4 linked regions of the Tamandua tetradactyla genome follow. The protein of the gene in region 4 interacts with the protein of the main gene of each other region in a pairwise test. Links are inferred from orthologs where the notes say so. Each region holds a gene or a part of one and is shown on either strand. Other genes may lie near its edges.

Region 1 (8,156 bases), on a different chromosome or scaffold from region 4:
AGGAAGTATAGTTTTTTCAAAAATAGTGTTGAAATAATTGGACATAATTAAAAAAAAATTAACCTCAATGTAAACCTCTCATCTTACTTAAAAATTAACTCAAAATAGATCATATACTTAAACGTAAAAAAAAAAAAGAGAGAGAATATCTTTCTATCTTGGGTTAAACAGAAAGCTCTTAAACATAATAACAAAAGCACAATCCATAAAAGAAAAAAGTTGATAAACTGGGCTTCACAGATTTTAAAATTTTTGCTCTGAGAAATACCATTCTAGTGAATGAAAAGATAAACCATGAACTAGGAGAACACATTACAAATCATATATCTGTTGAAGGATTTGCATATAGAAATTATGAAGATTGCTCTGAACTCAACAGAATGGAAACAATCTAACTAGAAAATGATCAATACCATGAACAGATACTTCTTCAAAGAGAATAGACTGATGCCAAGTAAGCACATAGGATATCAGTATATACTTCTAAGAATGGCTCAAATTTAAAAATAATGATAATACCAAATGCAGGAATGGAGAGCAACTGGATATCTTATACGTTGCTGGAGGTAATGTAAAATGTTACTGCCACTGGAAAAAGTCAGAAGTTTCTTAGAAGTTAAACATACACTTTACCATACAAATGAACTTCGGGGTATTTATCCTAGAGAAATGTACACTTATACTCACAGAAAACCCTGTAAACAAATGACCATACCAGCTTTATTGCTAACAGCTAAAACTGGTAAGAACCCAAATGTTTTCCGATGTGTGTAAATGGGTAAACCGATACAGCCATGCCATAGAATACTCAGCAATAAAAAAGACCAAAATATTAATACTGATACATGCAACAACCTGGGTGGATGCCAAGAATATTATGTTGAGTGACAAGAGAAAATCTTGAAGAGTTACATATTGTATGATTTCACTTTTTTTAACTTTTAATTTTGAAATAATTCCAGACTTAGAGGGGAGCTGCAAAATTAATACAGAAATAGTATATAGCAGAGGCCTACCCCCCTCCATTAAAATGGCAGAGTGAGACATTCCAGGTCCCCTTACAAAAATTTTGTTAACAAGCATAACCGGCTGAAAAATTTTACTCAAAACTACAGAAAACAGTTAAAGGATTACAGTAACAGAGCAAGAACCAAATCAAGAAAAAGACAACTTAAAAATGGTAGGAAGGGGGTGCAAGGGTAGCTCAGTGGTAGAATTCTCGCCTGCCATGTGGGAGACCTGGGTTTGATTCCTGACCATGCACTTCCCCAACAAATAAAAACAAACAAACAAAAAACCAAATCAAACAAAAAAAGTTCAACAAATGGTGCTGCAATAAGGGGATACTCACGTGGAAAAAGAATGAAATGTGACCCCCGCCATACAGCATACAAAGAAAAAGAAAGTGGTAGGAAAGCGTTGTGGTGTCCATGCTGACGCCTCCCCCATTCACTACAGGCTTCGCCCTGGGTCAACACGTGCTTCCCATGTGGGCTCCTGGTCCTGGCTCTGGAGGGAAGAGAGTAATCTTTGTATATATCCTAGGAAGCGTGTGTGATTGTGCCAATCTGTCTGGGGGGCAGTCTGAAGGACTGAACAATGACATGCATAACAGGCTTGTCATTCCAGAACTTGCCCTATGCCTTGAAGTGGCTCACAGAGCTCTCTTTCAGGATGCTATAGGAGAACAGTCAAATCACAGCTGCCTGACACAGTTGTGCTGTTTTAGTTTGTTAAAGCTACCAGAATGCAATATACCGAATGGCTTTTAAAAAGGGAATTTGTTAAGTCACCTTTGTTCTAAGGCTGTGAAAATGTCCAAACTATGGCATCCAAGAAAAGTAATGTTGATTCAAGAGAGGCTGATGGGTCCAGAACACCTCTGTCAGCTGGGAAGGCACATGGCAATATCTGCTAGCTTTTTCTTCTCATTTCATTAGGCTTTCCTGGGGGTGTTTTCCTTTTGCATCACCAAAGGTCTCTGACTGTGTGGACTCTGTCAGCACTAAAGCTTTTTCCAAAATGGTTCCCTCTTAAAGGACTCCAGTTAGCAACCTCACCTTGAATGGGTGGAGACACATCTCCATGGAAACTATCTAATCAAAAATTATCACCCACAACTGAATGGTTAACATCTCCATGAAAACAATAAAAAAGATCCTACCCAGCAGTACTGAATATGGATTTAAAAACTTGTTTTTTCTAGGGTACAAGATAGTTTCAAACTGGCACATGTGCCCACCAATGGGACATAATATTGCAAATGGGAATTGCAAGGAAACACTGTTTCTTAGGGGAATAAGGACATTCAAATTTATGTAAATGAGGAAATTCCTAGGGCCAGAAATTCCTAGGACAAGATGGAGGCACAGAAATAACTGAGGTTTTCCCAGGCTTTTGCCTCAGGCTATTCTCTAGACTCAGTGTATCACTAAACACTAAACACTAGTGCAGGCCAATCTGCAAAGACTGGGAAAGATATTCTCTCTCTCTCTCTTAATCCACATTCAAGGAAATCTTGACATCTCTGTTATAGCTCTAGCTGGATACAAGATGAAGGAACAGATACTTCAGAATCTAAATTCTAGTCATAATGCATTAAAATATCAAAATGTCTAGGTTGCCACAAAAGATTACAAAACATACAAAGGAACAGAAAGCTATAGCCCATGCAAAGAAGACAAGCATTAGAAGCCATCAGTGAGGAAGATCAGACCTAGGATATACCTCACAAAGACTCAAAAATGGTCCTAAATATGCTAAAAAGAGCTAAAGGCAAACATGGACAAAAACAAAAGGAAATCAAGAAGTTGATGGTGAACATAAAGTAAAAATAAAGAGATAAAAAGTTATGATAATGAACCAAACAGAATTAAAGTCCAAAGTAACTACCCAGTAATGGGCATAGGGTTTCTGTTTGGGTAATGGGAAAGTGTGAGCAATGAATGGTGGTGAGACTAGCATAACATTATGAATGTGACTTATCCCACTAAATGGTATGCTTGGGAGTGGTAGAGATGATAAAGTTTATGTCACGTTTGTTTCTGCAATTTTAAAAAGTAAGAGCATCTTGAGGCTTGCTCTTGTGAAGCTTATGAATGTAGTAGAGAAGCCTAACCCACCTATAGGTATGTCTAAAAGTCACTTCTGGAGGACCTCTTTTGGTGCTGAGATGTGGCCTTTCTCTCTCTAAGCCCAACTCTGCAAGTGAAATCACTGTCCTCCTCTCTACATGGGACATGACATCCAGGGATGCAAGTCTCCCTGGCGGCATGGGAGATGACCCCCAGGGATGTGTCTGGCTCTGGCACTGTGGGATTACCAATGCCATCCTGACCAAAAGAGGGGAAAGAAGCATAACAAATAAGGTGTCAGTGGCTGAGAGAGTTCAAACAGAGTTGAGAGGCTACACTGGAGGTCACTCTTTGGCAAGCTTCAGTTAGACACTGCTACATATCATAACTTGCCGAACCCCAACCAAAACCATTCCAGCCAATCCTAAAGAACACTTAGGGCATTATATAAGATTCTACGAAGTCTCCACACACTAGGGTAATTTTCCAGAAACCTACAACCTCCAGATGGGTCCCTGGACCAGGTAAGCCCTAAAATGCAGAGGGGCCAACCCTTCCAGAACATCAACTAGTTCTATCCCCCATTCTATATTATCAACACCCCCTTTCAACATGAAAAAGCTAGAATGGGTATAGCCCATATACGCCAGAAAACTGGAAGAAAGGTCAAAGGTGATTCAAAGAAGGTTGGGTTTAACAAATGAGTATGAATGGTGAATTATACTGATGTTTCTTTCAGCCTCCAGTATCTTAGAGCACCTAGAAATAAAAACTTAAAATTATAGAATTATAAGCCATACCAAACTCTGAAATCTGTTCTACAACTAATTGTTCGACTGTACTTTGAAATTTTTTGCTTTTATGCAAATATGTTATTTAAAGAGAAGGAGTTGTATAACAGAGAAGACAGGATTTAACAGATGAGTATGACTGCTGAATCATTATACTAATACTTCTGTTAGTCTCCAGTGTCCTGGAGCAGCTAGAAGAAAAAAAGAAAAATTGTGGAACTGTAACCCATACCAAACTTTAAAATCTGTTCTCTACTTGTTAAAATGTACTTGGAAATTTATTGCTTTTTTGTATATGTTATATTTCACACACAGAGTTAAAAAAAAAAAAAGAGTAACTAAACAGACTAATACAATGAAATACAATACATGGTCCTATACAGAATCTAATAACAGAGGAGAAAAGATCCAAAAGAACATTACTGAGACATGAAAATTGGAATATAGACTTTAAGCTCTATGTCAATGTTAAATTTCTTGAACATGACAATGGTACTTAAGGTGGTTACATAAGTGAATATCCTTGTTATTAGGAAATGCATATGGAAGTATTAAGTGTTCAAGGAACACGATGTACACAACCTACGCTCATATATTCAGAAAATGAAGACAGTGCTTAGAAGATGGACTGACAGATGAACAGATAGAATGATATGACAAATGTGGCAAAATATTGAAATTGGTGGATTTGCTACCTGGGGCAGTGGCTAGGGTATGCAGCAGTTCTCTGCAAGGATCTGCATTATGTTTGCGGCTCTTCTGTAAGTTTGAAATGATTTCAAAATTTAAAAATAAATTTAAAGAAAAAATATGATACTATGAATACTATCAAAGCTTTTGGTCGCGTTCTAAGGAACCACCAGACAGCGCTGTACAGAGAAGCTGGGCACTCCTCAGGTAGTAGGCTCCCGATTATGAGAGTGTGTGCAAGCACTGCTTGGTGCCGAAAGAATACTATTGCCAGCAGATAGCTGGCCCAACCTTTCGTCAATGTTTAGTTGAATAATAATCCCAGATGGAGAGGCAGGAGCACCCCAGCCCTGCTCCTTGGTTCCTCAACCGGTGGGAGAATGGGCGGGGCACGCAGGCACCGAGCCATGCCATTGGCCCGCGCTGGCGGGAGAGGCGGGGTCTGCCTACGTCTGTTAGGCCCGCTATGTTGTCATTAGACGGCGGCTAGAGGACACCAGCAAGATGGCGGCAGTGAGTGGGCTAGTGCGGAGGCCCCTTCAGCAGGTGAGCAGCCACGCGCGGGACGCGGTGACTCTGCGCGGATCCCACCCACCCTGCATATTCTCTGACCGTCTTCTCTCTCTCTGTCTCCCCGGTAGCTGTCCGGGCTGCTGAGGAGGCGCTTCCATCGGACGGTGCCGGCAGCGCTGCAGGTAACTGACTGGGCAAGCAAGGGGGCCGCCTCATCTCCGGGCTGCAGCCGGGATCGCGCCTGCGCGGAGGGGAGGGCTGGGGGTCGCGGGATCCGGAACCGTGACTTCCGCGGCTTGCGGGCGGTGCGGCTCCGAGTCTTTTCGTTTCCCTTTGTCCAACACATTCCTGCTTGTTCCTTAGAACTCCTGTAGGAAGCCTTCTTGGGCCCCAAGCGGGGTTAGGCACCGGCCTCTCGCTGTCCTGTGCTTGCCCCTTCCGAATTCCCTTCGCCCCCAGAGCCCGTAGTCGAGTGCGGCTCGTGCTACTTCTTTCGCCTGGCGTCAGTGGTGAAATAACCCTGCGAGTGTGGTCGGAATCAGATGGGCCATCTGTGAAAGACTTGGAGCTCCTTTTCCTTCCTTCCCCGCCTCTTCTTTTTTTAACCGGAGGATTTGACCTGGGTGGTTAGATAGTACTTCCTAGGCAGGTTTCTGAGGGTTAAACAAGATGCTGAACAGTGTTTGACAGTGTCTCGTCCTCAGAGGCTTAGTGTCAGTTGTTTCCTTGAAGTCGTGTCCAATAATCCCTAAGGGTGTTCTGTGCCCAGTAATTCCTAAGTGTGGACATAAAACAACTCGCTATACTTTCTACTTAGGAAACAGCTTGTGAACTGATCTGGGCAGCAAGCATTTTTCTTATACCTGGGTGCACATTAATCTCTTATTAACACATCCAGTTAAAGACTGGCTGTGTGTGGTAGAAGTGTTACTTTTAGAATTTTTTGAACTTTTAAGAGAAATCCTGTTGGGGTGTTGCTTTTGATTTTGTATGCTGTGGACAGCCCAGGGTAAGTATAAAGGGAGAGAATCTCAATAGTATGTTAAATTTATCCTGTATCTTACGGACTGTCGCCCATACTTTGACAGGTGACAGTTCGTGATGCTATAAATCAGGGACTGGATGAGGAGCTGGAAAGAGATGAGAAGGTATTTCTGCTTGGGGAGGAAGTTGCCCAGTATGATGGGGCATACAAGGTAAACAAAATATGTGAAAATCATACAAAACTTAAGTGACCATTTGTCTCCCCATATACTTTAAAGTAATGAGGACAACCCTAATTATAGGTTAGTCGAGGCCTATGGAAGAAATATGGAGACAAGAGGATCATAGACACCCCTATATCAGAGGTAAGGCTTCCAGCAGGCAACAGACCTTTGAGGGACATATTTGTTAAAGGGTATATTGCTGTTATTTTTATGTTTTCACTCAGATTGTCCTTTGGTTTATATTTATAGATGGGCTTTGCTGGAATTGCTGTAGGTGCGGCTATGGTATGTAATATTTTTATATGAAGCTCATCCAAAGAGATTTCTTTTAATGTAACTGTTCAAAGACATCATTTGAATGTTGGAGGAAAGGAGTGGTTGTTTGCCATTCCTCAGTGCTGTGAGTTTTAGTCCTTTTAACGTCCATGTTTTTGACTTGACAGGCTGGGTTGCGGCCCATTTGTGAATTTATGACCTTCAATTTCTCCATGCAAGCCATTGACCAGGTTATAAACTCAGCTGCCAAGACTTACTACATGTCAGGTGGCCTTCAAAATGTGCCCATAGTCTTCAGGGGGCCCAATGGTGCCTCGGCAGGTGTGGCTGCCCAGCACTCACAGTGCTTTGCTGCCTGGTATGGGCACTGCCCAGGCTTAAAGGTGGTCAGCCCCTGGAATTCAGAAGATGCAAAAGGACTTATTAAATCAGCCATTCGGGATAACAATCCAGGTCAGAGATTGTTAAAGAACTAAAATGAAATCTTTGCATAGAAGGGACCATTGGAGGTTTCTAGCTGGGCTTAGATATTTCATATAAAACATTAATGATTTACAGATACAGTTAAGATGGTAAAGAATGTGGTTGTGGGCGGGCCATGGTGGCTCAGCAGGCAAGAATGCTTGCCTGCCAGGCCAGAGGACCCAGGTTCGATTCCCGGTGCCTGCCCATGTTAAAAAAAAAAAAAAAAAAAAAGAATATGGTTGTTTTCTTATTTCTGATCATAAGGGGGCCATTTATGTGAAGGAGACTTTTCTGCATACCTACAACACTGGCTTAATCTCAATAGTTATGATTAGGATTGATCAAACTACAAATGTAAATAACTGAAACGATCCTCAAGACTTATGGACGAATTGGAAGTGAGGCTTCCTAATCAGCACAGTGGATCTCTTCACAATGTGAATAATATTGTTGTATATATATTTTCAGTCATTCTGGATTTAATTAGAGTAGTCACATTTGTTTAAATGTTTTTAATATTTTGCAGTGGTGATGCTAGAGAATGAACTGATGTATGGAGTTCCTTTTGAATTTCCTGATGAGGCTCAGTCAAAGGATTTTCTGATTCCTATTGGAAAAGCCAAAATAGAAAGGCAAGGTAAGAGAACTTCTTAAACACTATTTTTTAATCCAGCCCCTCTACTTACTCTTTACTTTGACTAAAAAATTTAGGCAATGAGCTGAAGTTAAAGAGTGTATGATGGTGTGATTTCTCATATACTTGTGCTTTTTTAAACCTCAGTCCATTAGGTTCGCATTTAGTTTCTAGGAAGCTGCCACATTCCTCCTCTCACTGGAATGAAGTTGAATTGAAGACTTTACAAATGAACAAAAGCCACAGTTTTCTATAGAGCAGGATAACACCTTTAGTTTCAACTTGACCTCTGATCTGTAACCACTCTGTTTCAGGGACGCATGTAACCGTGGTTTCTCATTCAAGACCTGTTGGTCACTGTTTAGAAGCTGCAACAGTGTTATCTAAAGAGGGAGTTGAATGTGAGGTAGGTGGACATTCTTGTTCTTAAAGAATCAGCGCGGCTTCTTTTAAATTTAAGGCCCCTAAATAGGAGCTTCAGGTCTGTAAAAGGTTAACTAGATGC
Region 2 (8,315 bases), on a different chromosome or scaffold from region 4:
TTCTTGAACCAAAGAAATCAAGATTCAGGAAAAGGACCTAGAGAACAAGGGCAAGCTGAGTTACTTGGATCCAGAATGATGTTCTGACACTGATCACAAGGACTACCCTCCAGGACTAGTCCTACAGAAAGAGAATACCTATTGAGCACTGTGTTAGACTCATTCACGTACATCATATCAAACATCAACCTATGAAGCAGGATTTGTTCTCAACTTTTTAATTTTTTTTGCATGAGCAGGTACCAGTAATCGAATCCAAGTCTCCGGCATGGCAGGCCAGAACTCTGCCTGCTGAGCCAACCGTGCCTGCCCTCTCAACTTTCTGTTAAGGAACTGGACTCTTATATATTAAATTGCAGGACATGGTCATAGAACTAGTGAGTGAAACTGGTACTAAAATATGGAACCCAAACTCTTCAATATTATACTGCTTCTCAGCAGAAAAATGACTTTGATCTCCTTAAACTCATTGCAGCAGTATTTCACTATGCATCTAATGTGAGCAAAGATATGCTAAGTCTCTGTTAAGAGTGTTACGGCAGCATTTTCATAACGGGTGATCAAAATCTGTACTGAAGGACAACAGTTTGCCACTGGATTTCCAGTTTAATACAGGTGCATATAATCCCGGGAACATATCTATATTTAGAACTTTAAACTTATATTGCACATATTCCAGCATTGCATTTTCCAGATCACTTGCACACTAGTGTTGCCCAGCACTGTAGTTCATCCTCAGCTCAGGGGTCACATAGGGCCATTTATGCCATCCCCCTTTCTCTGGATAGGGAGGAAACTGACTCCCTGGTAGGGCTTGATATTTTTTTCTCTCAACAACTACATGTCCTTTCACAGTTTAATAACTAAGCATTTACTTTCTGTTGACAACCAAAGGAATGAGAAAAGGCTTACAAAAGAAATAAATAGAAAAAAATTTATCTAAAAAAATTTAAGCTGCCACTTTCTTCTCCCCAGCTTATCTGAGCTAACAGGAAAGCAGAATAAAGTCCTGTGATTCAGCTGCAGGCACAGTGCCTGCTTGAGCAGGTTACACCCATTGGTCTTATTTTCTAGGAAAACGAAAGAAGGAGCCTAAGAGAACAGATCCACTATTTTGAATGGGGAAACATATCTACTCTCAGAGGTTGGCTGAATGAAGGCAAAAGTTGACAGCTGTTTCATTGATAACAGTGTTCTCATCACTGGTTATTGGCTAAAAACTGGGGAATTGGAAAATGTCTTCTAAAAAACTGAAGAAAAGCTCCAACAATACTGATTTAAATAGACAAGGTTGAAAATGGAAATGCGGACCCCTGCATACATTATCAACTTTAATGATATTCCTTAATAGCTCTGCCCTAATATTAATGTTTTACATTCGCTTTTTACTCTCAAGCACTCGTTCTGCAAGATTCCAGCCCCCTATAAATGTATTCTCAGGGCCTCAACCAGTCCTTCCTTGTTCCGGGATCCTAGGATAATAAATAGACTTAAAGACAAATGAGCATTGGGCTCCCTCTCCCCGCCCCCCTTAGCTCCCCTCCCAGCCCCGTAGTGCCTGAGTCGCCTATGAAGGGGGCCTGGGCCGCCTACCATCCCATGTGTCTCCATTCCCCCTTCTGGTCCCGTCTTGGGCGCCACACCTCCTGTTCGGCTGTTCTACGAGGTGTGTGCTGGGACAGGCATCCAGAAGGGTGGGGAGTACTCAGCATGGAGCTGGGAGAACACCGTTCGTGGACTTAGAAATTTGAGAACTGACCGATAGCCCAGGGCAGCTGGGTTGACTGGGTTGGGAGCTGAGAAAAGAGACCCAGTCCCGCAGCCCAAGTTGGCGGCAACAGGTGTCCGGGGCGCCTGGGGGTCCGGGAGGGAGGTCTTCGGGGTTCCGAGGGCGGGTCCTGCTACCTCGCCGCTTGCCCATTGGCTTTTACAGTCTGTCAATGAGGTAATTTTTAATCATGTGTCCTTCCGCTGCGGAATGTAGTTCTCCCCAAAAAGGCAACCTGAAGGCGCGTTCCGCTTGGGCTGCACTTCTTACTGAAGGTGACTGAACCGAGCGAGAACGCGGAGGGGCGGGTCCAGGGTGCGGAGAGCCAGGATTGGGTGAAGGGCGGGACCGCGGAGGGAGTGCAGCGGCTCTGCAGCCGTGATAACCTTGAGGCTGAGGCGTCTGATTCCCGCAAAGGAGCGTCGCGTCTAGAGCTCCGCTTACCCGACATTTGCAGCGCAGTTTGAGCAACACCATCCGGAGGTGAGCGGCGGGGAAGGCTGGGCGGTTCAGGCGCGACCCGCTGGACTTCGGGTGGTGCGGAATCCTAGCCCGCCTTTCCCTCAGGTCACCCCTCCAGGGGTGGTTCAGGATCCTGAGCATCTTGGACCGGCCTGGGGTGAGAGGAGAAAGGCTGCTTGCGCCTACGGCCTGCTCTTCAGAAAGCCTTAGCTCTCTTTCCTTTCTCAGATATGTCAGCCAGCCCCTGTCATTCCTCAGTCCCACCCCTCTTCTGGTTTCATCCTCTCCCTCCTCAATCTGGTTCCATCTTCGCCTTTCTTCTTTTATTCCCTCCTAATCTGATGTCTTCCTCGCCTTCCTGTTCTCCCCCATCCCCCACTGTGTTCCCCTGCTCACCCTCCTACCCTTCCGCCTTAGTACAAGACCCATTCCTCCCCCTCGTGTTCAGCTTGTCCATGTCCCCATCATTTCGATGCTTTCCTTGTAAACGCTCCTCTAAATTCCCCTTTATGTCCCATCTCTGTTCCGCCTCCATTCGGGTTCCGTCGGCCCTTCCCGCGTCCTTGCCCCCTCATGTCTACCCCTTCCCACATTCATGTGCTCACTCCCGCTCCTCCCCCTCTCACCCCCTCCCTCATTCATGCCCTGGTCCCCGCCCTTTCCCGTCCATTTTGGTCGCGTCCACGCCCCCTCCGTTCTGGTCACGTCCGCTCTCCTCTTCCAGGTCCCCCATCTCAGTTTTGTCCTTCTTCATCCTGGCTTCCCAGACCGTCAGGAGAAAACGGCCTGTGGTCTTGGCGGGAGGCAGTGGGTCACCGCCCGAAGTGTACTGGTCGCCCGGCTGAGTCAACTGTGCAGCCTAAGGGATGCCAGGCTCCCTGGAGGGGATGAGGCGGCGGCCCGGGGCACAGGATTGTGTAACCCTAGGCCCTCCTCGCAGCAGGGGAAGAAGTGATGGTTCCTCCTGTGGCAAGTTCCTGTTTCTTCCCCGGATTCCATGAGGCGGGGGGGCGGGGGGGGCGGGTGCTGCAAGAAGTCTGCGCTGCCCCGGTGGGGGTGGGGCGCGTCGCGCGGCTCCATCTCGCCGCGGTGAGGCTGCACGTAGCGGTCCTGTGCCCGGGACCTGTCCCGCCAGATGGCTGGCCCTGCGGGGCAGTTACCAGCCAGACCTAACCGCCCAGCCGAGAAGCTGCTGGATGCTTTCCCGTGGTCTCCTCGCATTTTAGTCACTCACGGAGTTCCTTGTGTCTGCTGACGTTTATTAGCAAATGCTCCCTGACTGTAGAATGGAGAGGCCACGGGGTGGAGGGAGCAGGTTAAGCGAGAGGAGAGGGGAATCTGAAGAGCTCGAAGCCACGTGTTGCGTACCCTCCGTAAAACTCCTGTGCCAAAGCCAGTTTTGGGGAGTAGGGGTGATATACAAGAGGAAATCGGGATGCCCACAGCGGTTACAGCTCCCAGAGTTCACAATCCAAATAGAGGATATGTATTTTATTACGGTAAGTGCTATGAGGAAGCCACTAGCCTCGTGCTGGGGACAGAGCGGCAGGATGCCCACAAGGTGGCAGCCACACTGGATTTGAAGAAGCAAGGAAATCACCTTGTAGTTTGAAGGTTATTGAGAAACACAGTTATAGAAAGGCATCCCTTGACTTCTTATATAATCTTCTCCAAACCTAGAACATTGCTGTTTCCTGCCTCCAACCCCATGTATGTAAAATGAGCCCAGAAGTTTCAGTAACAATGGGCAGAGGCATGGGTGAGTTGTGGAGAAGAAAACAGACTTTAGAATCAGGTTGACTTCACAACATACTGAGATGACTGAGCGAATTCAGCCTCTGGACGTAGGTTTCCTATATGTAAATGGGAGCAATATTATCTGTATAATTGTTGAAAGGATGGGTTTCTGCACACACCTACTGATGTATATGTAAGTAAAGACACAGTGCAGTGTCTAGCATCTAGAAGGTACTGCACAAATGGCAGTTGATAAAATCTCATCTCTCCTGAGATGTCCAGGAGAAATGCCTTCAAATTCATTTATTATTTTGGTCACTGAGCACAGTTGCTTAATTCATAGTAGACCATGAGGGCCTGAACTTCTCAATTTGTCTCTCTACCATCCCTAAGCACATACAGTTACTCTTCCAGTCAGGATCTTTAAATGCCAGAAATCTGAAACCAGTCCCCTGAGGAATTCATGTACATTGTTTACAAAGTAACTAATAATATTACTTTGCAAACCTCCACTGGCAACCTGGGCTCTTTGGTCTCATGAGATCTCTGGTCTTCTAAGCCAGCTGATGAAAGGAAGGCAGGGAGAGGAATAATTTCAGGCTTTGGTGTTTGGTTGTAAGAGTAGAAACAAACTTGCAACACCAAGACTGAAATCTTCAGATACCAATCCTTGCAGGTTTCCAGGTGAGATTCAGGGACTTAGTTCTGTACTGGTAGGTATGAAGCTAGGAATCAAGGCAGGGATAGCTACCTCCAGTTGGCAGTGCTGAGGGTGTGGCCACTCCCTAGGGTACAGAGGAGGGACCTGGATCAGGACTTCCTCTGCAGCAGCATTGTTACCAAATAATTTGCCTCCTGGTTGCGTGAAGGTGCTGTTGGTAATACATTATGCTGTTCTGAGGGGAAGGGTATGTAACCCATCACCAGGTGGGTGAGTGGGAGGCTGTGGGCGGAAGATGACTCAACCTTTCAACTTAGCTGCTTTTGAAAGAATTCTCCTTATCGGGTGAGTGGGGAAACTGCATTGCAGTACTTGGAGGCTTGAGAAGTCCCCTCCCTTTTCAGTAGTCAAATAATGAAGCATGCGTTTTTGCCAAATAAAAATGTCTCAACTAAATGAAAAATTATTGGGTCAAATTCTCAGGCTCTGTACTGCCTTAAGAGCTTAGGTGCAGTAGCAGAGCCCTGTGTCCAGGTGAGGCAGTCTATCTGTCTGCATTCCTGAGCCTTTTCTGTGGTGGGCATAGCAGCCTCTCAGTGGGTTATCCTTTGAGCACAGGGGCTGAAGTGGACATGATATTACTTGATTTTTAATTTATTTTGTTTCAGCTTTTATGGAGGCAAGTGAGGATGCATTGTCTTGGCAATAGCTAAGACTGGGGATCAAGGTAGAGGAAAATGATGCATTTGACGTCATTGGTATTTCATAATCACTCCAAGTGTCCACAGTTAAATCCCAACCACAAGAATGAGTTGTCCTGTGAGCAGTTTTATTACAACCTTGTTGAAGATCTTTGTGAAGTACATATTTGGTAAAAAAAAAAATCTTATGGGACCTTGAGTCATCACTTTAAGCATCAGTTGTGGTATATAAGGAATAGTGCTGTGTGACTAAATGTAAGAAATGTACCTTTCTTAATACCACTGTGCTTTTGGGGAGCTTGCGTTTTTTCTCCAAGAGCCAGACTAGACTGGCTAATTGATTAGTTTGATAATTTGGGGCTTCGTTAAAGCATTTTAGGAGAAGATGAGCAGCACGGGTGGTAAATAGTGGGATGCAGCCTCTGCAAGACGTTTTGGCCTGGTTCAGCTGTTCAGCTAAGGGATCACAGGGGGGTTGCCAAGGGGTGCATTCCCACGCCTGCAATGGTATGTGTCTGGCTGCACGTAGGAGGGACAGCCAGGCTGCAGTACCTCTGGTGGCCACTGAGACTCCCTCCACCAATGTTCCCTTTACCCCCACCCCCACCCTGGCCATGTCCTTAGGCAAAGCTCCTGGAAAGCTCTAAGCCTTTCATTAACTGACCCCAGCAAGCTGTGTTTGAAAGCCAGTCAGAGGCTGGGGAGGGAGTGGGGTGGGCTGCCAATACCAGCTGTTGTAGGGCAGCGAGATTGTTGCTCATAGCTGCTAGCTAAATATGCAGTCAAAATATTATTTGAATGGAGCCCATCCTGAACACCTTTCATCAACATCCAGATACTTTTTCAACTTTAAACAACTGGTGTCTCTAGAGATGACTCCAAAAGAATTACCTGGTCAGCTGAGTAACAGCGATGACATATAGCCATTCCCCATTTTGGAAGAGACCAGGAATTTTGAGTTAAGAGGTAGGGAGGTAGGTGTACGTACTAGTAAACTTTCTAAACAAAACTATCCCAATATCCCACTTTTGTTACTACGTTAGAGAGCAGACTAACAAATGATCATCCATTGGGTTGGCAAACATTTTTGGGGGGAAGGGTACATGGTTTGGGAATTGAACCCAGGTCTCCCGCATGTAAGGTGAGCATTCTACCACTGAACCACTTGTGCACCCTGGCAGACATTTTAAATGCCTGACAATATCAAATGTTGGCAGAGGTGAAGGAAAGCAGGATTGATAAAACTGCATTAGAAAGCAATTTGGCAATAAATAGTAACAGAATAAACATATTCTATCATCCAGTGATTCCATTTCTAGATAAAACTCATAAATACACAAGAATACATGTACTTAAAGAGTTTTCATAATATTGATTGATATAGGGAAATTGTATTAATGGTGGGGGTGGTGATGGTTACCAGTAGGGTGACACATAAAAAATGGACTAGATATACAGTGGACTAGTAAGGAAGTTAAAATGAATTAATTAGATCTATATGCCAGACTAGAAGGATCGTAAATGTAGTGCTGAGTATAAAAAGCAAATGATGACCCAAAAAAAGGATATATACAGTATATATTTTAGACTAATTTTTTAAGAACACAACAATACCATAGTATAAATATAGATACACTGTATATAGACTCAGAACTAGAAGGAGACAAAATTCATGGCAATGGCTGGGTGGCAAAATTCATGATGGCATGTAGGAAGGTTGGTTTGAGGATGGAGAAAAACTGAACTGATTATTTGTATTTCGTATTATTTTAAAAAAATCTACAAGAAAATATGGATGAATTTTGTGGTCTGTTCTGGGTAGTAGAAATATGGATATTAATTTGTTTCTTTTATTTATTTTAAAACAAAATAAGAAGTAGTTCTATGAAGGTCAATGTCAGAAGACGAGTCATACAGTCATACTAACTAGGTCAGTACAGGCACTACCCAACCCCTGCTCCCCTCCACTGATTGAGGTCAGCTCCTCTAAATTCTGAGCCAGTGCCTCCCCTTGTTGAGGCATTCACCTGCCCTGCTTGCATCTGACTTTGGAGGGAGGGCCCTTGTTGCTTCTAGAATGGGTATTATGCCCAAGTGGCAGCTGAGGAACTCTGCCCAGTTTTTTAAGCCTAGGCTTAAACATAGCAAAGCATAATAAAAGTTTCACTCAAACTTTCCTCCTTCAAGGTGAAATCAATTCTCAAACTTTCAGGATCGAACCAGGAAATCCTAGGTATCCAAGGACATAGGAATTTCTCTAGTTTGCTGAAGTTTAGTTGTCCATTTGGGGCTAGACCCATTTATTATTGGTTTTTGTTCTTTATTTCACACTCTAGTTTGAAACCGGGCCTTAGACACCTGCTGAGATTCAGGTTGCTTAGTTCTAGTGCTGAAGAAGTAAAGAGGCGCAAGGGAATTTTATTTGAGCCTACAAGTGAACTCATTTTGTTTGTTTTTACAGCTCAAGACTTTAATGTGTAGTGAAAGATGAACACAGGCATTCTCCAAAGGAGGAGAAGCCAGCTCACTTTGTTTGTGTAGCCTGATAACAAAAAGACTTTGCTTTTTGCTGTGAGTCCTGCTGAGGCTAAAGTGTGAAATTCTATTTCCCTATTCCATCAAGGAAAAGGATCATCAGATCTTAGAGAACAGGCTGCTTTTAGTGCCAAGCCATTACTTTCTAATGGCCACTGGAGTTCTGAAGATTTGGGAGTTGAAAGCCTCCATTGCTAGCTTGGAGTCTTAGATGTATAAGTAGCAAATGGGAGTGGTGTTAGAGTGAGAAAGAGGGATCATCTGGTGCCATCTTGCTGGGTTGGGCCCTGTGGTGAGGTTGGCATCAGAGCAAAACTGGTCCAGAGAGCCCCAGCTGAGTAAACATTGACTTACTCAGATGCAGGGTCATAGGCTGGGCTGATTTATTAGGGCAGAATGATTTGATGCTTTGTGAAAGAACTGGTGGAGTGAAGCGTGACTTTCCCAGCAC
Region 3 (7,674 bases), on a different chromosome or scaffold from region 4:
GGTGTACTAGGAAAATTACGAAATGAGACCTTGAAGTCACATTATCTCTTTAGATAGAAAAGAATGAACTGCAGCACACTCTCTCAAATTTCGCAGCTTGCTGTACACGCAAAGTATATATCCATATATATATATTTAAAAAAAAACCTCACTTACTTGGAGTCCATAGTGGAAGGGAGTTTATTGCTACTGTAATCAGGCTGTGATGGTAATATGGAGCTGAGAAAGCTGGCTGGGGACTGGTTATAGGTGGCTGTAACCCTTTGGCCTGGGTTGGTGCCAGTGAGCTGTTGGGGAGAAGCAGGGAAAGCAGAGGAGGACATGCTGATGTGAGAGCTCATTGTTGAGGAAGCTGAGAATCTTTGCTCTGTGCACTGGCGGGGCTGGATGATAATGGAAGACTGTTTGGTCTGGCTGGAGAAGCTGGAGGTTTCCGGTCCAGGAGGCTGCAGTCTGGTGCCACATGGGTTTTGTGACTGGATGAAGTGTTTTGGACGCTCGTAGTTAAACATGTTTAGCTGGTATGTGGAAGATGAAAGCAAGTTATTACTATAATGATTTGCTCTTGGAGGGGTGGGGTCCTGTATTTGGGACTGCAAGGAATCAGAAGCAACTTTGGTCTGCCTCTTTTTGTTGAGATCCTTTGATAGAGTGGGTGTCTCTTGAAGAATATTGTTCCTTAAAAAAGAGAAAATGATTAGTATATGTTGTAGTATTTTTTTAAACAACCTACTGTTTATTTAACATCTTTAGGCACTTATATGCTTTTAAGGTAGCTTCAAGTTGGAACTGTCCTGGCTTCTAGACCTCCTTTATCTCTGATTTTAGCAAATGACTTTTCCCCTGAGAATAAGAAAAAGGATTAATCAGTGTTTGGTTGTCCCCAAGTGATTCTTGAGAAAACATGCCTAGGAGCTTCATGATACAGGAGATCAAAGTTAAATTTTCCAAGTGATAATTTTGAAAGGAAATTCTGTGATGTTTCTCAGTTTGATAATTTTATAGTTTCATGATTAGCTTTTGCCCAGAGGTCACAGTTTCATTAACCACAGAAATTTAGTATTATTTAAAATTAATGGCAATAAAATATATAACATTTCAGCTCTCATCCAGTTTAAATTCTTCCTTTTGCTTATCAGTTTAGATAAACAACCCTTCTGATACCAATTAATTCATATCCTGATGAACTGTGATGATTAGAGTCTTGGTAAATGAAAGGAAGCAATATACTGCTAAAGTAAAGAACATTACTTTAACGTCCATACTTACTTTGCCCTTTCATAGTTTCACAAAATACAGTTCACTGTTGTCAACTTTGAGTGGAACTTTTTTACCTGATAGTTCACTGACTTTTTTTCTCCCCATGATTCTAAATTGACCATAGTACCAAACTAGATGATAATTAGGGGTGACTGTGTATGTATCTGTCTGTCTGTCTGTATGTATGCCTTTGTGTGTATAATATATGTTACTGATAGCATTCCAGAGCCATTTGTAAATTTTCTGGTTTTTAGATTATACTTTGGATATTGTTCTTAGTGTTCTCTTAATTGTTTAGATTTTTTACTTTTTGTTTTTTACTTGTTTAATATAAATTTTAGACTAATTTTGAAATTGTTTTATCCCTTTAACTTTTTCTTTTGAAATGGCAAATGGGAGGTACCGAAGGAAGTAAGACAGCAGTGAAGCTAGCTATGCGTTACCATGAGAAGTTGGATGCCATTTTTATCTCAGTTCCTCAGTGGTCCTTCTGCCCTCCTATAGTGGATCCCCCCTTTTCCTTAGATGAATCATTTGCCACTAAAATCAAGCTTCAAGGATTATATTTGCCTTTGATTGCTTCTGTTAATATGATAAACCTAAGCAGGACTATGAAGACTTTACACATAAAGATTAGCCTTATAAATTACTATAATACTGATCCTATTTTTATTAAAATAATCATGTAATTTAGTTCAAAATACATTGTTGTACACTGTATAAACAAACAGTTAATAATAAGTCTAACTTTTAATTGATAAAATTAACCAAACTGTCGTTATTGAGACAAAATCTTATAATTATTTAAGTTCCTATCTGGAAGAAAATGTTGTTAATGAAACTTTTCCAGACCAAACAATTTCATCCTAAAGCTGCGCATGTAGTTTTGAGTTAAGTTAAAACTAGCAGTTATAGGAAACAATAAAAATGCAACTAAACATCTTAGATACTAACTTATGAAAAATAACACATAAAATTTCATATATTCCTTAATTTCAAGTTTATGAACACAAGCAAATTCAATCAGAGTGTATTTTAGTTTGATGAACTACATTAGACCTTTAAGTTTTGGGGGAAAACCATCCCGAAGGAGGCTTTATATCTTCTCAAAAAAAAAAAAGAAGACTGTAGTTTTACAGGTATAGGTTGTATTTATTCTATTGCAGAATTGAACCCACAGTTTGGTTCTTAAGTTCCTTTCTGGTTCAACAAATTATTCAGATTCATTTCAACTAGCAAAGAATGTTTAAGGAGTAGCTGGTAGATATTTTCCAGAAAGGATTCACTATTTTTCTTAACATATATGTTCAGAATGTCAATTACCATATACATTTTGGAATCAGCTTACATAAGTAGCAATTACTGACATTTTAAAAGCCCTATTAAAAAATAAGTGATTTCAAAACAATGATGAAACGAGGATAGATTTCTCTGGGAATGAAGTTAAATATATCTACTGAGAAATTTGTATCATCTAACTTTATCTTCTAAAATAATAAAAGCTAAAAATAAAAATAATTAAATTGATAAAAAAATTCTTTCAAAAGTTTCATTTTATCCATATCTTAAAATTTTGTACAGATGCTTTCACAAGTAACTCTAAAAGGCTTTTTCTCATGCTTATAGTTACTGTACCAACAATTAAATTCTGTAGTAGATTCTATTACATGATGCTGTCATTTTATTTCAAACAATGCTACATATATTTCAAAAGTATTAACAATAAAACACTGTTGAATTTTTTAAGTAATATTTTTTTCCTATCTCTAATATAGCATGCACTTGCACAAAGACTGATAGGGGATATTTTGAAGCCATAAAACATTTCCACAATTATAGTCAGATAATGTGTCCTTTTTCAAGGACTAATGATGATTTAAAAATGACACAACTATCTTTCCCTCTACTGTTTTATAATGCCTTTGAGATTCAGTGAAATGAATAGGTCACTTTCTCTTCAAACCTTTGTGTATACTAGTATCATTACGATGTTGTGGCTTTCAAACTTTTTATCTTAAGATCACCTTGGTACATTCCCTTTGATTTGGAAAACGAAACAAAGCCCAAAACAGCAGCAGGAATAAAGAAGGGACTTACCCGTTGCTCCAGAGGGTGCCAGCTGGGTTTAACCCACTACTGAAGGGAAGGAAGAGGCATCCCCTTCCCTCACAGACTAATCTAGTGGCTCTGTGCTTAGTATTATAGCACCACTGACTTTTGTCAGCTGCCAAACAGTGACATCTGATGTGCTTGCCTGTCCATCTACCTATGCTAGCATGTCAAAGTAAGAGTCCACAATCTAAACAATATCTCAGATGTCTTACTGATATTTAAGGAGTGGGATTACATGAGCTTCTTTTGCAGGCCTCTTTATTTTAGACGTTAATTTTGACTATGAGCAAGCTCATAGAGGGGGAAGAACAGTGAATTGGAAAGCAGAAAAAAGTATAATAATGCAATTTCTTTATTGTGGTGGGACTTTGAATCTTCCTTGCAGAAGAGAGAGAAAGAGAGACCAAAGATAAAATGGTCAGTATTCTAAGACTGGAGTTCTTCAAGACTTCTCCAGAGATGAGACCAGTGATGGATGGACTCCAAATTGAACTGTATTGGTTAGTCCTTCTTCTGAAGCCCTTTTTTTGCCTTGTCAAATGAGAATGTGGGTGGAGCCAGATTCAAACAGATTGTTCCAAGAAAGGGGGTGTGGTCCGGGCAAAGGCAGGAAAGCAATAGGACTGTAACTAACGTCACTAGGAAGGTGAAGAGGTGGTGGAAAAACATGTTTTAGTTTCTTTAGCAAGTTTGCTGAATCTGTATTGTGTATTCTTTCTTGACCCAGTATTCTAAAGGACTGTTGAAAGATTTAAGGAAACAAGCAGTCTGTATAATCAGGACTCTGTACTGTCAAAGCTCTTTCATCTCCCTTCACGGCTAACAGTTATAGTTTCCTTTCAGACCAAAAGAGTAAAGTATTTCCATTTAGTAGCTTCAATTTTGATATGGTTCTAATGTGTAAAGCATATCTGTCTATTCCCTTCCCTCATGGGTACCCCAATTTTGACTTAATCATCATGTACACTAGGGTCCAACAAATAGATGTTCGAGCATATGTAAGTCATATAAAATTCCCCACAGCTGACCACACTGGTATGCCTTTCTTTGGTGTTCAGAGAAAGTTTAATAATTGTCACCTAGTGAGCTGCTTTGAAGCTGTTATATACCCCAGAAAAGGCTATGTTCTTTTAACCCATTCCTGTGGGTGCAAACCTATTGTGGGTAGGACCTTTTGGTTAGGTTATTTCAATTGAGATGCCACCCACCCAGTTCAAGGGGGTCTTAATCCTTTTTACTGGAGTCCTTTATGAGAGGATAAAGGACACAGAAAAAGCTCTACCGAGAGAAGTTTGGAGAGAGTACAGAGAGAAAAGACCAGGGAGAGGCAAGCAAGGAACCACAGAAGATGAAAAAGCCAGAACCTGAAAGCAACGAAACCCAGGAGAGAAGGACCAGCAGACGTACACCATGTGCCTTCCCATGTGACAGAGAAACCCCAGATGCCAGTGGTCTTTCTTCAGAGAAGGTATCATCCTGTTGATTCCTTACTTGGAACATTTTCATGGCCTTAGAACTGTAAATTTGTAAACGAATAAATCCCCATCGTAAAAACCATCCCATTTCTGGTGTACATTCCAGAAGCTTTAGCAAACTGAAACACCTGGACACACAGCCATTACTTAGTAGAAAAAGCATGCTAAACCTGATGAGTGTGTGGTTGTAAAGTCTTACTTCAGGAGTCCCTTAAAATATTTCCTTACAGCCGCTCATTGATATTCTAAACTCCATTAACAGGGACAAAGCCTTTTAGTTCAAATTAGAATTTTAAATGCAAATGCAAGGGACATAATACAAATAAGAATAACCAACACATACAGCACTTACTATGAGCAAGGCACTATTCTAAACATTTTAAATGTGGTATATGTGACTGATATTTGGTTCTTTACTGAGAAAGGGTTTGATTAATACAAAAAGAGTTTAGACTTAAGGTACCTCGGTACCTAAAAGTTTGCGACATGCCCCACCAGCCAAGTTGGTAAGATATCCAGGACAAACTGCTAAATCCCCAGTTTGCCTAGCACCGGTCTTGAATGTACCACAGTTAAGGAAGAATTTTAGTTCCTCTTATTCTTTTCCGCTTCTTTTCTCTAGTTCTTTGTAAGACATGATATTGGTTACTGTGTGACAACTCAGTGGTTCATCAAGATAAAGGTTCTTGCCACAATAAGGGGATCAAGAGATGATTTAGGAAAGGAAGATAGGTTCTACCATTTCCAGTGATTAAGGGTGTATGCCTAATAATCTATTATGTCTTTTTTTTCTTCTTTTTAATATTTGTTTTGCTTTTTTGAATGGTGTTTCAAATTTTCCTTGCAAAGGTGGTTGTTTGAATGGTTTAGTTGCTTATTGGAGAAAAATCATAGAATCCTAAAACTGAAAGAATCATTAAGATGTCAGATTGGGAGAACCATATTCCACTATGCCTCCAAAAATGACTTTCCATTTCTTTCTCTAATTTATCAGTAGGGGCCTCTGGAAAATCATTCTAATGCCTCACAAAATGTAGGAACTTCCTGCCTTTCTCACTAAAACCTTCTTAGTGCATGCATGTTAAAGAATTCTTTCTTGTCCTATCATTAGTGGAAACAGGGCAGCTGTTTTACTGTCACTTATTCATCCCTCTTTATATATAGTCTTGGTTGGTTTTTAAAATGTAAAGTTTATACGCTATTGTAAGAGTAGTGCTGTGAACTTCTTCTGAAGTCAGAGGTAAGATGTACTTGGTGGAGCTCATTTTTGCTCTATCAACTAAAAAGGAAAATGTCCAGTGAGGATAAAAGGACTAAAGATTGAAGAAAATTTTATTTTCAGGTTACATTTAATTCACTGTGATTATTGAAATTCTGAATAGACATATAATGAAAGGGAATCCTACTGTAGCACTCTAATTCCTTCCATCTCTAGCAATCTATTTCTCTCACTTCACAGGCCTAAATACTATTTAATAAATCCCTTCTTAAAAATCCAAGAATTTTTTTATAATTTTTAAAATTTTTAAAATTTTTATGTAGTGAACAGAGGCTACATTTATTTATATTAGTTAAATAGTCAAGAATGCTGATTTTTTTCATTTATTTATTTAGATGTTTACGTTTCACACTAAAAGATTTTACAAGTTGGTGAATACTGACAAATTATTTCTCCCACAAATGTATAACCACACATTCCAAGACAGTATAAATATATGGTTGAACTAACATTAATGTACATTACATTTATCAGCTATATACTAAAACAAATTATCAAAACCAAATATTAGGTTACGCAGCTCAAAAGGCATATAACATATGTATGCTGCATCATTAGCAGAAAACTACTTCTTTTTTTGCAAGAGAGGTTGGTGAAAAAAGGAAAATAAATTACACTTTGAACAAAAATAATAGTTGGTAAACAATTTCCAATAACTATGGAAAAAAATTAAAAGAATTTCAGAAATTTTGATTAAGAATTATTGTAGCTACCCTAACAAAGCATCTCTACCTTTAAAAAAAATTTTACTAAATTAAAGAGCATATTCTACATGTTCTGCACAAGTCAAAAGTAACACTTTACTAAAAATATTTATAGCCCCCTCCCATTCATTTGTCAGGCCCTCCCAGCTAAGTTGCACTCCAAAGTGCAAACATTAGCTGTAAGACTTTTTTGTCTGGAGGCATTAAAGATGTGTTTCTGTAGAATGTCGATTTTCAAAGTGGAGGTTTTCTCTAAAACACAAAATGAGTTATAGACATTAAATAATCACTATAAGACTTGGTAAAAAATCTAACAAAATTCAATGGCTTTATACTGGTATGAATGTGGGAGATGTAAACATAAATTGAACAGGGAAAAAACATATAGACCGTACTTTCAATGTTTGAAATGACAGAAGGAATGAACCACATAATGTCTAGAGTGTTGATAGTGTTACTAGACAAAAGCTGTGGACTCTTTTGCCTGACACACTCAGTAACAATTCCTAACACACTGGGGTTTCAAAGAGAGAAAGAGTTTATTACTAGGCATGTAGTATTAACGGCCCAAATCTGTCTCCCCAAACTATCCAAAATTTGGATAGTTGTATTTGAGAAAAGGTGGGTAGGGTTTAGGATAATGAGCACAGTGGCTCCAGATGATGTAATTAGTGGTGATCTAATTATTGCGCATATGCAGACTGATTACATACTTAGTCACAGAATGTATGGAAGAAAATGGCAGAATGAGGTATTGGTGACTTGTAGGTTAAAGTCTAAGCGAATGAGCATGTCAGACAGGCCCTCTTAGGTTAAATCTGGTCTTGGTCATCAAGATAATTTG
Region 4 (7,617 bases):
GGAGGGTGTTTCCCATCTGGCATCTCTACCGCCTGGGCCTGCGTCAGCCCTGGGAAGCACTGTTCTGAGGAACCAGCCATGGGGGAGGTGGACAGACCCTCGAGGATCATCTTGTACAGTTTCCCAACTGGGCAGATAAGGAAACAGAAGGGGGTGTGGCTTCCCAGATATCACATGGTGAGTCTCTGGCAAGGCTGGAGATGGAGGCCTGGTGTCCAAGCCCCAGGCCAGGGCTCTCTCCCTGGAGTCAAGAAACCTCAGAATCTCCAGTTTCTGAAAAATCCCCTCTCTAGCTACCAGTGTGGGTAAGGCCATACATAGACTTTGGAGCTAAATGGGCCTTTTTCAGCTCTGACTATACCAACTGTGGAACTTGGGACAACTCCACACACTGATTTATGCCTTAATTTCCCCATCTGTAAAATGGGGATAATAGGCATGCCCTACTCACGATGATTTTGAGGACTGGAAGAAATAATTCCAGGGAGCCCTCGATAGATGTCCAGTCACTTGCAAGTGCTAAATTAATAAAAAATAGTACTATCGTGATGATTTCCTTCCATGTCTCCCTTTTGCTTGCCAGGCCCAGACCATTCTCCCTCATACTTTGCCTGCCTCCCACCCAGTCTGGCCCCTGAGGGCACTACACCTTCCCCCACTAGCAGCACAGACTTTGGAGACAGTCCCAAATGAGATGCCTGTTATTTAGCTGGGGAACCTTCCAGAAGTTACTTAACCTCTCTGAATCTCAGTTCTGGATATGTAAAAATGAGAATCATAATGCCCCCAAATCACTCTGTGATTAATCAGTGGCGCAGAAGGAAGGAAGGGACCAATGAGACAAAAACAACAAATTGCCACGTGTAAGATCTTATCATTCTAATAAATGGTAATGATACTGACTCAGCTTTTGACTGGCTAGGAGCCCTTGACCAAGAGTCTCATCCCTTTGAGATTCTGTAACTCAGCTGAAAAACAGGGGAAATCATGGTCTCTGTCTCACTCAGTTATTTTGAGGATTGAGTGAGATGATGAATGCAAAGGGCTTAGCACAATGCCTGGCATGCAGTAAGCACTCAATAAATGTTTCAATGGGAGGAGCACAGGTTTAGGAGTCAGGCTACCTTGGATGTGAACCCTTTCTCAGCTCTGCCACTTGGGGCTGGGTGACCAGCCAAGCCAATGAACTCTCTGAACTTCATTTCCTCATGGGAAAATGGAGATCATAATACCTCCCCTACAGGACTGTTGTGAAGATTAAATGACAAGTCATGGCCTATGTGGGAATTTCCCTTCTCACCCCTTGACTTTCAGCACTGCTGGGCTTGCCAACCCCCAGGCTGGAGTTGAGCCCACTGTCCATTTGCTCAGCTTCTGTGTCTGGACTGCCAAGTGTGGGTGGGAAGTCAACAGAACCGTGCGAATGACTCCTCACAAATGACAAATCTGTGTTGGAAACATCAGCAAGGCTCTTCTGCTCCCAGACTTTCCTTCCACTGGTTTCTAGGGCACTTCCTCTTGTGTTTCCCACTGACCAGCCCAAACCTTTTCCGTCACCCTCTCATGCTGACATTCCTTCTGCGTCAGCATCAAGGAGTTGACCTCAACTCTCTTTTGACCAAGGTCATCATATAAAAGCACCTTTCTCTCCATTTCTCAACACCTCTGATTCTCTCCTCCACCGTTTCCTAGCTCCTTCCCAAGACTCTAGGATGTACTCCCTCAGCTCTCCTTCCCACTTTCCAGTGCTCTCTCTCTCCTCTGGCTCTACTATCTCCACCAAAAACCTTGTTCAAGTACTTAATTTCCCCCAAGCCTGACAGTGACCTTGCAATCCCTTTATTTAATTCATTCGTTCACTCATTCACTTGTTCATTCATTTAAGAATTATTTATTGAGAGCTGGGCCTTAAGGATACAAAGATGAACAAAGACAGTCTTTGCCTTCAAAATCTTCAAAGACGGGAGGGAGTGTCACACTTACAAACAGGTGATGGCAATATGACCAAGGAGACACAAAGATGGATCCCTGCCTGACCCATATTACTAGGTGTGCAATGGGGGGAAGGGGGAGCCCTAAGATCACTCCCAACTTCCTGGTTTGTGTAAATGGGTCGATGACAGCACAGCAAGACAGGAAAAACCGAAGGAGAAGCTAGGTGTGGGGGAAGATGATATGTTCTGTTTGGGATAGGGTGAATTTGAAGTGATCTTGAGACCCCATAGAGATCCTCAACATCTGCCGCTTTGAGGTGAGAGTAGTCCGGACTGGAATTAGAGATCTGAGAATCGCTGGCATTTTAGGAATTGGAAAGATAAATGCATATAGTATGCTTTTGGCTGCAGGCAACAGAATAATCACACTACAATGATGTGTTATTTCACATCGTTAACACCTTCAGAGTTGTATAAATGGGCAACACAACGGAAGGCACCTGTGACCCAGGTGCTTTCTTTAGCTCCTCTCTTCCATCCTCAGAGTGTTGATTTCTTTTTCCTTCAGGCTTGTCTCATCATGGTTGCAAGATAGCTGCTCCATCCTCTCACCACCCCATTCAAAGGCAAGAGGGAAGTTTTCTCCTTACACATTAATTTGTATCAAATCTTTTCCTTTATTCCCCCTCCCCCAGCAGACTTGACCTTGAGTCTCATTAGCATAGCTACCTGTATACCCTTAGGCAGAGGGGAATGGGATTACCATGTTAGGCATGAATCTTTCATGATTTGTCTCATATGGCAGTGGAGAGGCACGGTGCTGCCTGTGCGTGAACGGAACTTTCGTGAGCAAGGAAGAAGGGATGGTCTCTTCCCACCCTCATCATCCTTTGTCCCCCCGCTGGCCTGGCAGTGCTGAACCACAGTTCAGTGAAGACATGAGGCGCTTGAGCTCCTGTTCCCAATATATCCAGGTTCATGTCTTAAATCCACCTTCTGCTGGCCTTGTGACCTCATTCAAGTTACTGTACCTTTCTGTGCCCAAGTTTCTTCACCTGTGGAATAGGGTTTATAATGGTTCTTTGCGCTGTTGCCATTGAGATCTTAGAATGAAATAATACTCAGCAAAGTGCCTGACACATAGGAAGTGCTTGGCAATAACTAGCCATTAACGTTTTACGGGGACTACCCTTTCCTTAAAATTTTCTTGCTTTCTTTTAGGTCTCTTCTTCTTCCGACTGGGTTTTCTTCTTCTTCCTCTTTTCCTATCTTCTCTTTCTCTTTCCTGCCTCCTCCTCCTCCTCCTTGTCCCTCTCGTTTCTCCCTTTCTCAAGGTTGGTTCCTCTGCCCTCACCACTCTCTAGGTCTTATCTCCTGGTTCCAATCACCAAATCCTCTGGAGGCTGAGGTGAGTGAATCAACTCTGCTGAATCTCTCTCTTGAGACCCTGGACACACCCCCTGTAAGTTCCTCGACCTCTTAGGCTCTCATCTTGATACTCCACCCACACTCCCACCCCAGGATGGCTCCAGCATTGCTTTTCTCGAGGCGCTTCCCTAAAAAGAGACATTGGAACTGCTCAAATGACTTCTACCTGCCAACATGAAAGGTGTCCAGAAGGACAGGGAGAAAAATTAAAATTTGTGCAGAGAATAGAGGGGAGCATCTGAATCACTTCTAAATATCTAGGCAGGGACTTTGTGGCTAGCTCTCTTCCTAGGCTGTGAGCCTCACAGGTCAGGCAAAAGAATTACTCATCTGTCACCTTTACTAGTTAGCACCTGAGTAAGTGCTCAGACAAGTGTTTGCATGGATAAGGTTCTTCACTGCCACTTACTCTCTAAGTAACATTGAACAAGGCCCTTTCCATCCCTGGAGCCTAGTTTCACAATCTGAAAAATGAGAGGACTGAACTGCACCTTGAGGAAGCCCTTGTAGCATTAAAGCAGATTTGGCGGCCAAGGGATGGGGGGACTGGGAGAGTCATCAAAGTCTCCAGTAAAATGCGATGCTCAGGTCGAAGGCAGAGGGATGGGCTCAGAAAGAGGGCTTGCCCTGACCCTCATCTTGGGAGCTGCCCAAGACTCTAGAGGAGGGTCTGGACCTGATGTGTATCAGAAGGTCACTCTCCTGTCCTTGGGGGGGGGGGGCCATCGGCCATTAACCCCTCAAATCCCAGTGGCCCACTGGATGGGTCCCATCCCTAGTCACCATCCCGGAGTTGGGGGTGGGGCGACCAATTCCTGGATGAGACACTGGGTCCCCAGTCCTCCCGGAAGCCAGCCCCTGAACAGGCTGTTCTTGTTTACGACCCCCATCCCAGGGGACAAAGATTGCTCATCCCCACACGTGATATGAGAAGGCGAGCTTCTCAGGCCTGGAGGAAATTCAAGCCCCGCCAGCAGCCTGGCATGGGGATGCTCAGCTGGTCTTCTCCCGGGGCTCATGTGACTGGGGCCCAGCTATAAATATCAGAGGGGCTCGGACCAAGGCAGAACACGGGCGCCGGAGGAAGGAGGCAGAGGGGCTCCGGGTGGGTGTTTTGTGACAAAGGCCAGGGCTCCAGGTCTGCCTGGGGTGAGGTGCGGGTGAAGGAGGCAGCCAAGTGGGCTCCCACATCACCGACGACATGGATTATAAGTCAAACCTGATCCAGGATGGGAACCCGATGGAGAACTTGGAGAAGCAGCTGATCTGTCCCATCTGCCTGGAGATGTTTACCAAGCCGGTGGTCATCTTGCCGTGTCAGCACAACCTGTGCCGGAAATGTGCCAATGACATCTTCCAGGTCAGTGCCGGCCGCTCGGCTTCTTTGTGATAAAACACTTTCTCCCTTCGACCAGGACCGAGGCTGGTTCCTGCCTCTCGAAAATGAGTCTTCTGGCTCTTTCTTCCCCAAAATGAGGCCCCCCCGCCATGTCGGCCTGGGTGGGGCGGGGTGGGGAGGCAGCTCTTGCTGCCCGGGTCCTTCTCCGGGACGTCTGCTTCTCCTCCCCACCTCTGCCCTGAGCGTGGCAATTGACTCTCCACTCAAGAGTCAAATGCCTCAAGTGATAAGTCGGGGAGGCAGGCAGAGAAGAGAGAGAAAACAGACCCCTGGGGCTGGAGCCAGGCCTGCGGTGGCAGGGGGCCCAGAGCCTTGGGAGGAGGGGCGTGAGGGGGCACTGGGCACTAGAGCATCTTCTCTTTTGAGGCTGTTCCTTATAATATGAAGGTGGGGGAGGCCGGGGGGGGCGCTCTGTTTCCCTAAAGAAGGAATGGAAGTAGACGTCCTGCTTGGGGGGCAGGATTCTGGGTTCCCCAGGAGCACTTTGCAAAATGCCCTCTCACCGTTTTATCTTCAAAGTAGAAGCCATAGGGGCTTGTTCTACTGATTATGCCCATTTCATGAATGGTCCAACTGAGGCTTAGAGAGATAAGGTTGCTTGGCCAAAAATTACTCAGAGAATAGATGAGGCTTGAACCCAGTTCTGTGGATTCCCAAAGCCAATGCTTACCTATTGATTGCTCAGCTGCTTCTTAGATGATCCGTCTGTAAGATGGGCTGGTTCTCATCTCAGGGTGGGTTTGGCAGGGATGACTGGGGTGGGCGAAGGGGGAGGGGAACAGGAGATGAGTTAGGGAAGGGGCTGGGAAGGCGCCCAGGCCCACCTCCACCTTGCCATCTGCAGGCCGCAAATCCCTACTGGACTGGCCGGGGCAGCTCAGTGTCCATGTCCGGAGGCCGGTTCCGCTGTCCCTCCTGCCGCCACGAGGTGGTCATGGACCGCCACGGAGTCTACGGTCTGCAGAGGAATCTGCTCGTGGAGAACATCATCGACATCTACAAGCAGGAGTGTTCCAGGTCAGCTCTCCGGGCTACTGGGATCCCGCCCTCCTTTCCCAGCCATGCCGGGCACAGCTCGCCCAGGCTCCTTCCTCCTCCATCAGCTGGGACCTAAGCCAGTCCAAAGGGCCATTTCCCTCAGGCTGAAGGACAGAGGCCCATGCCCCAGCTCAGTGATGGGGAGGGGTCAGGCTGCCTTGCAGGAGAGACTGAGAGAGAAACCAGGGGAAAGATGAGAGGTGACAAGGAATGACAGGCATTGGGACCTGCAAAATAACCCAAATAAGCAGAGAAAAAGTGTCCGGTGAGAAGGCAGCCAGATTCTCCCTCCTGATAGCAGCAGCCACCCTTGGATGCCCTCACTGGGCACCAGGCATGCCACACCTTGGGGCCTCACCACAGTTTTATGCACCAGGCGCAGCGTTCATTATTCCCATTGCACAGATGAGGAAGCTGAGGCTCAGAGAGTTGAAGTCATCTCCCCAAGGTCATGCTTCCAATTCATGGCTAGGCATTGGAAGAGCTAGGAGTGGGCCTGGGCCATAGAGCGCTGAGTCTCCCTGTTTATAAAACAACAGCCCAGTCTCAGGCACAATTTGTCCGTGAACAGAGGAGGACGTGTGGTGTTAGGCTTCAAGCTGGAGCGATCTTTACAAATCAGGACATCCTGACGAGTTTCCAGGTTGCTGACCTGCTGCCATTATGGTCTAAAACCTTTACTGAGCACCTGCCTGAGGGCAGGACCTTCCCCGATGGAGGGGGACAAAGCAGGCCCAGTGAGGAAAGGCCCTGGCCTGGGCACTGTGTTTGTAGGCTGACTTGAAACTAACACACTGTAGGATCTCGGGTAAGTCACTGGCTTTTAGGGCTTTGTTTCTCTTTGTCTGCAGAAGGGGACAATAAGACCTACTATTGTGATTATCAAATAGGAAAACAATAGGAAAGGTAAAAAATATATATATATCAAATATTTATTATTTGATTTATAAATAAAATTATTTACTAAGCACCTACTCGGTGTGGGCACCATACTTTATGTACATGGCATTCTTACCTCTATTTTATGATGAGGAGATGGAGGCTCAGAGAGGTGCAGAGGTTTTTCAAGGTCACATAGCTAGTAAGGGTTTAAGTTGAGAGAAAGCCTGGATTGATTGACTCCTAGCCCTCTGCTAGATGGGCTCTCATGGTGATAGAGCATGACCCTAAAAATATAAGCAGACTGTTGATAAAACCACTATCATGCCAAAATACTACTTAGTGGCTAACTATGAAGGACACACTGTTCTTGACCCCTTCAAGACCTTCCTGCACAGTTATATGACAGTGAGAGCTGCCGTCCATTGAGGGTCTGCTCTGTGCCAGGCATGACCCATTCGTTATAAACAACTCCTGCCATGATCCCAATAGAGAGGTGAAATCACTGGTCTGAGACAGATAAGCGGCAGAACACTCTGGATTTGAACCCAGATGCTGAAGCCTGGGCATCTGGGATGGTGGTGGGCACAAGGCACCACATGCACAGGACCTGTGCCTCCTCTCAGCCATCCCAGTGCTCCCTTCCCCAGGGACAGAAACAGATGGCAAAGGGAGATCCTTCTCAGCATGGGAGACCTGGGCTCAAGATGCAGAAAGACAAGGTATGCAAAGGGGCTTATTGAAGAACTTGAGGGGCAATCAAGATTGTGCATTCGGGTAGAAAAGAAAGAAGAGACTCTGGACCCTGGAATGAGTCTCTGGTCGATGAATCAAGGCTTGTGCTGAACTGTTGAATGGCCCTGGGTTACCCACATAACAGCTGGATGTCTTGGGGCAGTCACCCTGCCTCCTTCTCCTGGCCTTGGGTGCACCCTCACG

Evidence for each region.
Region 1: the proteins of TRIM63 (region 4) and PDHB interact in a two-hybrid assay, tested with the Homo sapiens proteins (2 studies listed by BioGRID). The link is inferred for Tamandua tetradactyla from reciprocal best matches to the Homo sapiens genes TRIM63 and PDHB.
Region 2: the proteins of TRIM63 (region 4) and PKM interact in a two-hybrid assay, tested with the Homo sapiens proteins (3 studies listed by BioGRID and IntAct). The link is inferred for Tamandua tetradactyla from reciprocal best matches to the Homo sapiens genes TRIM63 and PKM.
Region 3: the proteins of TRIM63 (region 4) and MYOT interact in a two-hybrid assay, tested with the Homo sapiens proteins (2 studies listed by BioGRID). The link is inferred for Tamandua tetradactyla from reciprocal best matches to the Homo sapiens genes TRIM63 and MYOT.

What each region holds. Positions count from the first base shown.
Region 1 is NC_135341.1:26,472,379-26,480,534, forward strand, and holds the start of PDHB (pyruvate dehydrogenase E1 component subunit beta, mitochondrial), read left to right. Parts: upstream 1-4,985; 5' UTR 4,986-5,059; coding exon 5,060-5,101; intron 5,102-5,196; coding exon 5,197-5,250; intron 5,251-6,156; coding exon 6,157-6,264; intron 6,265-6,354; coding exon 6,355-6,417; intron 6,418-6,525; coding exon 6,526-6,561; intron 6,562-6,719; coding exon 6,720-7,005; intron 7,006-7,543; coding exon 7,544-7,654; intron 7,655-7,965; coding exon 7,966-8,057; intron 8,058-8,156. UniProt on the Homo sapiens protein: The pyruvate dehydrogenase complex catalyzes the overall conversion of pyruvate to acetyl-CoA and CO(2), and thereby links the glycolytic pathway to the tricarboxylic cycle.
Region 2 is NC_135338.1:70,093,240-70,101,554, forward strand, and holds the start of PKM (pyruvate kinase PKM), read left to right. Parts: upstream 1-4,844; 5' UTR 4,845-4,923; coding exon 4,924-4,973; intron 4,974-8,315. UniProt on the Homo sapiens protein: Catalyzes the final rate-limiting step of glycolysis by mediating the transfer of a phosphoryl group from phosphoenolpyruvate (PEP) to ADP, generating ATP.
Region 3 is NC_135346.1:17,384,576-17,392,249, reverse strand, and holds the start of MYOT (myotilin), read right to left. Parts: upstream 3,488-7,674; 5' UTR 3,358-3,487; intron 679-3,357; 5' UTR 513-678; coding exon 157-512; intron 1-156. UniProt on the Homo sapiens protein: Component of a complex of multiple actin cross-linking proteins. Involved in the control of myofibril assembly and stability at the Z lines in muscle cells.
Region 4 is NC_135328.1:200,138,588-200,146,204, forward strand, and holds the start of TRIM63 (E3 ubiquitin-protein ligase TRIM63), read left to right. Parts: upstream 1-4,424; 5' UTR 4,425-4,563; coding exon 4,564-4,722; intron 4,723-5,605; coding exon 5,606-5,778; intron 5,779-7,617. UniProt on the Homo sapiens protein: E3 ubiquitin ligase. Mediates the ubiquitination and subsequent proteasomal degradation of CKM, GMEB1 and HIBADH.